2 linked regions of the Kluyveromyces lactis genome follow. The protein of the gene in region 2 interacts with the protein of the main gene of each other region in a pairwise test. Links are inferred from orthologs where the notes say so. Each region holds a gene or a part of one and is shown on either strand. Other genes may lie near its edges.

Evidence for each region.
Region 1: the proteins of VPS54 (region 2) and ARL1 interact in binary tests that used the Saccharomyces cerevisiae proteins (3 or more experiments, as listed by UniProt). The link is inferred for Kluyveromyces lactis from reciprocal best matches to the Saccharomyces cerevisiae genes VPS54 and ARL1.

What each region holds. Positions count from the first base shown.
Region 1 is NC_006041.1:2,193,003-2,195,626, reverse strand, and holds ARL1 (Arf family GTPase ARL1), read right to left. Parts: upstream 1,074-2,624; coding exon 522-1,073; downstream 1-521. Other genes in the region: UBS1 (Ubs1p), read left to right, coding at 1,967-2,624. UniProt on the Saccharomyces cerevisiae protein: Recruits golgins such as IMH1 to the Golgi. Can bind and hydrolyze GTP. May be involved in trafficking events within the endosomal system.
Region 2 is NC_006042.1:414,405-418,977, reverse strand, and holds VPS54 (Vps54p), read right to left. Parts: upstream 2,865-4,573; coding exon 324-2,864; downstream 1-323. Other genes in the region: RPI1 (protein phosphatase regulator REG1), read right to left, coding at 3,260-4,573. UniProt on the Saccharomyces cerevisiae protein: Involved in retrograde transport from early and late endosomes to late Golgi by linking the vesicle through the t-SNARE TGL1 to the Golgi, leading to the membrane fusion between late Golgi and endosomal vesicles.

The sequences.
Region 1 (2,624 bases), on a different chromosome or scaffold from region 2:
GAGGGGGTAATGTACACCTGTAATATATAACAAAGAGATTTACCTTTTTACGTTGAGCGAAGTAATACATCATATACTGAATGATATGGTGGTAGTTGGCAAGACCATGTTCCATTTAAAGGATTCGTGGTTGCATGGTATAATGACTGCTTAATTATGCGAATTATGAATATGCTATATATATAATGAAACTAGGGCACGATGGAATGGTTTGAATAGGAGAAAACATTATATCACGCATACGCAAACGTAAACGAAATAGTGGAGGATTTTGGAGATGAAATAAAAATGCATGGGAAAATTGAATGTCTATTGAAATAAGCGTGTAAAGGAATTCAATAGGACATTACGCCAGCATCGGCAGGAAGTAAACAATTCGAATTTTAACTTTGTTATTAGCTTTGTCATTTATTTTTATTACTATCTTAGGTCATGTCAAATTAAAAAAGCATTTCAGTTGTAGATAAATATAATGGGACCGGAAGCACTAAAAAACATGCAGTTTTCAATTCCTTCTACAATTACATTTGTTCTTCCTTAATCACGTCAATTAACCAATCCAAACCTTCAGTTATCCCTTCGCCCTTAATGGCACTGGATGCAACAATACTCCAGCTTCTATCCTTCAATTCTGCCAAGTTCAACTCCTTTGATACTTCTGACGCACTTAATGCGCCTGGTTGATCTTGTTTATTGGCAAATACGAGCAGAGCGGAGTCCTGCAATTCTTCTTCTTGCAACATGAGGTGCAATTCCTTCGAAGCTATATTCATACGGTCCTTATCTGTAGAGTCAACAACGAAGATAACTGCTGCTGTGTTTGCGTAATAACAACGCCAGTATGGTCTAATCGAAGTTTGTCCACCTAGATCCCACACGTTAAGTTTCAAGTTTTTATAATTTAACGTCTCTACATTGAAACCAATGGTAGGTTTTGTAGTTATCACTTCTCCTATCTGTAGTCTGTACAATATCGTCGTCTTACCAGCACCATCAAGCCCTAATATCAATATACGTAATTCTTTTTCCGCACCCAATAGTCTATCAAACATAGAACTAAAGAAGTTACCCATTGTGATATTTTATAAGTAATTGCTGTACTGCGGTCAATTCAAAGGTAGTTGGTAATTAAAGAAAAGGTGTATTAATAAGTCAATTAATAATTTAAAACCAAAACTTTTGTACTAGTTGATATGTAAAATTAGGAAGTACTTGTTCAAAATATTTCTTATTTGAGAACCAGTTACAGCCAAAATTCGAAACAAATAAACGAATAAACAGCGATCCAGACAGCGGTAAGTTTGTCTCCTGATGTGTAAACAATTTTATTGTATTCGTACTATAAGATCAGATAATGTCTTTGTAATGAGTGAAATATTAAATACAATGAAATCATAACTCCTAACCAATGCAGTGTGTTATTAATCACTCGATCCTGAGATTTTCCTTTCACTAAAATTGTAGTTGGCCTTTTAGTGGCCGGGTAACAACAAACAAAGAGACCCCATTAGACATAGTAAAAATTACTTGCGTATATAGTCTGTATCGTTCACATTGTCCTCGCTGTATTTTTTTGTTCAATCTCAATTTTTTATATATGCGAGTTTGTAACTGCAGAGAGCTCACATGAGGCATACCGGTACTGATTAATGCTCTGAATTTTCTTTCTTCTTCTATCTGTATAAACATATTCTACAATATATGAAGAATTTGTAGATCAAAAATGATAATCAGAGAAAAATAATAATAGAATATATTAATCTGATTTGTAAAAATACAAAACAGTAAGACTGCATACCTTTGCATGCAAAGCTAAGGGTAACGTGATTATTATTGGATATCTTAACTACTATATTGCCAACTAAGTGTGGTAATATATCATTATTGGAAAGGCTTTTCCATTGCCTATAATTGTTATTCTTCACTACTTTTTTTTCTTTCAAATAGCAGGCCACATCCACATAAGATGCATCCGTTGTACAGGAAACTCCTTAGGGAATGGAAACGTTTGAGCCATTATAAGCACTCTACATGCCATATCAAGCCACAAGAATCAAATTTGCAGTTCTGGAATATAGTACTACATGACGAAAGCCGAGATTTGGAACTTTACTGTGTTGTTTTCATAAGCCACAAGCCTATGAACGAATGGGAGCCTATCATACTATTAAACTGTTTGACACCTAATCCCTGCATACCTGTGAATAAGACTATCTGCTTGAATCATCTCTCTCCTGTTCTTCTGAACTATGGGTTGTGCTCCTTTTATGAGCATTTGTTATCATCAATTTATAGTCGCTGTACTAATATCACCGATTATCATAAAAAATTGGCCATGGCTTGGAACAGAATTATGGTAAAGGAGTTCAAGAATTTCTCCCCGCGACTATTCGAGTCTTACTCGGTGACTCAAACAGACGTTCAGATGGTAAACGAATATTTGCAAACGCAGGCTCAGTCACAACCTAATCATACAAAAAGAAACTCCCCGAAATTGCATAGTAAAAGCCCAACCCCGGTAGATACCCATAACCACATAACAAACGAAGACTGTTCGGAACAGTTATACAGGGGAAAGAGGCAAAGAACCGGGTTGAGCTCTTTTATGAGTGTGAGTCCACTCA
Region 2 (4,573 bases):
AGTGTAAAACTATCACTTTGGTGTTTTGTCAGGGTAAACAAAACAAAACATTCTAATTCAAAAGTATCAGAATCTCTAACTTTTCAAAGCTTCGTTGGGTCAATGTTTTCATGATGTTCATTGGAAAACGTTGACCCTCGTTAGAAATTGCGATCATATTATACGGAAAGCAGGGTAACGATACATACACAGACGCATATAGTGAGTCCACACTATCACGTGATTCATATTGCTAATATATATGCATAAATATTCAGTACAACTGAGATATCACCTATTCTATCATGCGCAGTGAACTGTTTACCCGATGGGTAGTACTTGTCTTAAACAGGAGGCGGGATATTGTTTGTTTGGAACAATTTCTCACTGGACTGTTGTAATTGTTTCCAGATGTTTTCGTACTTATCTGTCTTAGATCCCAGCGTACGTTGGAAATACCCTTGTAGTAGTAGCGTTATTTCCGCTAGACAATCAAGTGATTCGGCCATGATATTCAAGTTTTTATCTGTCTTTGTAGATAGTCTGTCTGTCAGTGATGATGATATAGATTCTATTGCCTTTGTATTGAAGAATTTCAAGACATCGGACAATTGACGTTCGCAATGTCTTGCATACTGTGATGGGAAGTTTGAGGCGAGTACCAATAAAGTTTTGATCATTTTGATGGCAAGGATTAGAGCCTCGCTTGCCACGAATGTCTTATCACCTAAGACAACGGATTTTTTGTGACCGGTAGAGGATTGCTTCTCATCCTTTGTTTCGTCTAATGGAGAAGGTTTGTTCAACTCGATGAATCGTGTCCAATTTGACGGATCAATGTCAATACACGATACAATATCATTGACATCCTTTTGCAATTCGGGCTCGACGATGAATGGTGTCCATCTCTCTACATCGATCTTTTGTTTCAAAACCCTTATGTTCAAATTTTGTAAAGATTTCAAATATGTATCGATTTGGAGGTTCAATACGTCAGAAAGATACTTCGTTAGAAATTCACCGCTTATAGATTCACACTCTCTCATGAAAAGCATGCATATCTCGTAGAACTGAAGGAAATGATCGAAACGTAATGTACATGTGATATCCCGTCTCACTGAGATTATTTTCCCCATTCGAAGCTGTACTATCCTTATACCCTCGTTAACGCTTTTCCGAATATCAAGATCAATAATCATCTTATCAGATTGCTCTGCCGTTGTCGGTAATTCACTTAGCGAAATGTCTAATAGCATTTTCTGATGCCGCGTTAACCTCTTCAATAGTTCGATTTCAGAAGTGAATATATTTACAAGCATTGATTGGAACTCTTGAGATGATTGTTCTTGAATCAACTTTGATAGCCTTGACCCATTGGCGGCAGTTGGTTTAGAGCCATCTTTCGACTCTTCAGGTGTTTGTCTCTCATGCGGTAGATTAACCTTAATAACAGATTTCAACTCTGCTATAAATTTATCCTCGTATAGCTTCACTGCCGGAACCAACTGATCACAATCGATTAATTGTATTAGATTTTCTTTGATTTGCTTTCGGAAGGTCTCATCGATCTTTAAATGAGGTTTGTTCTTATCCTTCCTAGATTGCAATTTGATGATCGTGTCATTTTTCGATTGAGACTTCGAATACGTCCTCAAATCTTCCAATAGTACGGTAACCAGACTCAATGAGTAAGATCCCCCGATGTCAACCTTCAGATTATTTAGCATGTCTATTATGCCCTGTAAACTAGAAAAACTTGAGATGTTTGTGAGTTTGTACGGCCACTGAGAGGTCCAATCATTGACAGTGGGATCATCATTGTCACCATTTATTAAGTTCTCAACTGCTTTAACCAATTTCAAACACTCTTGTAGTTTTTCTTCTTGATATATTTCTTTACATTCTTCACATTTTTCTTTCGCTAGTTTTACTTGTAGGATCCCCTGTTGTAACTTTTCCACATTTTTCCTTCTTATGAGATCTTTAATCATCTCAATTCTTTTTGAGATTTTATCCCCATTTATCCTCTCAAGGGCCTCAGCAGCAGAATCCAACTCGTTGATTGTCTCTGTCGCATTTTCTCTAATCTTATCGACGTCTTCCAAAGCGTCAAAAAAGCTTTGTATAGACTTGGAGATTTCAGAAACAAGGAGTCCCTCAACAGTATCTAAGTAGAATGCCAATCTTCCTTGAAGCTCTTCATAGCTGTCATTTCTAACTTTATCATCATCATTTAGTAGTTGATTGGCATCAAACTCAAAATCTCGTAGAAGCATTCGAAAGAAATTGGGGTGATCTAATTTGAACTCCTTATCAAAATAGAATTCAGGTATTTCTTCAAATGCCTTGGCTTTCGTATTTTGCAATCCAAGGGCAGTTTTATCATGATCAATAGATCTCATTTGCTCCATTCGGTTCAACTTTGATATATTATTTGTCGATTGATACACCCTATATTCGTCTTTAATGTCATCTCTGTATTGATTAATATCCTTGTCCCATTTATCCTTAATATCGTTCTTGCTTAGAACTACAGGGGGAATATCCTCGGTGGTTGGGTGCCGCAACCATCTTTTAAATCTGGTGTTCATCACAATTTCATATATTGAATTATCAACCAACGGTGAATAATCAAGACCGTGTTTTTGGGTATGCATCGTTGTAGAAAAAGAATTGAATGTGGAATCAAAACTACTACGCCTCATAGACATACTGTCCCTTATTTGATCCCTGTTTCTAGATAATACAGATAGATCATCGTTCAACGAGCTAGCATCATCTGAGGCATGACTGGGCACCAATAGTGGAGATCGACTTAATTGCGTCCTACTATCAGGAGTTAGAGATAGAGCTGGTGTCTCACTTCCCAGTAACCTATCCGGCATAGTTAACTCGCTGGTTTATAGTCTGTTGGAACAGCTTTTTCTTTGCTATGCATCTTAAAGGTGTATGTATCTGTTTACAATATGAACTTTAATCGATTTTCAGTTTTTACATATTCAATGATACTTCTAAAAGAAAGTGAACATGGTAGTTTGAGTATATAATTAAGCGCACTCTCTCAACATAAATAAAACACCGTAGCAAGTTAATCAATAGAAGCATTAAGCGCTGAGCGAGAGATCTACGCAGATGGATAAAACCAAGAAAAATTGTTGTTCTTCTAATTAATACTATTTACGTAGTGAAAAAAAAATATATATGCTGGTAGAGTGGTATTTTTAAGTTTAACCTCAATAAAAAAAATGAACTCCGAATATACCTAAGAGCACTTGAGCGATCACTCAGAATCAGAATCAGATCCAAATAAAAAGCTACCCGATGAAGGAGATTTTAATGGTGGTCTTCTTACCGTCGAATTGTGTTGAGATAAAGGTTCTCCAGTGATGAAGCTATGTGTCTGTTTTAAAACAGGAGATGCAGAATTGGAAGGTGTGATAAAATCATGAATGGAATTTGCTCTAGACTTCCCTATAGATGAGGTTCGCCTTAATGATAGTGGGTCTTTTGCAGTAAGCTCTAGTTCTTCACCGTTATCGTCATGCTCTTCGTCATCATGACTGAAACCAGGTTGGGAAGAATCTGCGATGAATTCGTTGTCCGGATGTTCATCGTTATCATCTTGTACCGGAAGGCTTTGATGGTATGTATATATTTTCCCTCTTGAGTCATCATCCATATATCCGTCATTCGCGTCCTGTATTGGAGTATCTAATCCAATGCCATCCGGTACATCGAGGATATCACACGAATTGTCCACAGTTACAAAGTTGGATGTATCCCCCGTGTAAACGGAATTATAATCATACATGTAGTCAAATCCTCTGCTAGTATTCACATTGTGTGATACTGCGTTACCATAATACCATTCATTTTCGTCTTCATCATAATATTCATCGTCAGATCCGTAGTTTAGAGTAGTGGCTGGAAGTGGTTTAATAGTTGCGTTTGGAAATTTGGATAGTGAGAGTGATCTTAAAGAATTTGCAACATCTGTGCCATCACTAGCCCCCGAATTGGTTCGATTTTTTCTAGTATGTGCACTGATAAATAACCCATCATCTTCGTCATCTTCGTCGTCATCTTCATCATAATCGTAGCTGTCAGCGTCTTCATCATCTTCGTCATCGGCGTAATCTTCGACGCTGTTGGCCCCTGAATTTCTATATCCATCGTCAAAGTCAGAATACTGATGCGAAGATCTGGCACCGTCCGACATATCGTCAGAGTGGTAATCGGTATTTGTCATTGGGACTTCGTCATCATTAGGATTAGCGTCTATGGGGTTATGATTAACCGCAATACATTGTTCGACACGGTCATTGAAATGAATATGTCTTTCCCTTTTTTGCTTTTGCTTCATCGATGATGTAAGAATCGATGATAATATGGGAGGATCAGATCTTGCGGATGGGGTTTCTATCACAGAGCCAGAGATTGGACCTGGAGTGGTATTTACTATCGACGAGTTTGTTTCGGTCACAACGGGCGAAATAGATTCCACCGATTCATCAGGCGGTGTATGGATATTTTTGTAATATTGTGCATTCACCTTCGCGGCAATAGCATCATAATCGTCATGCGTTGTCTGACT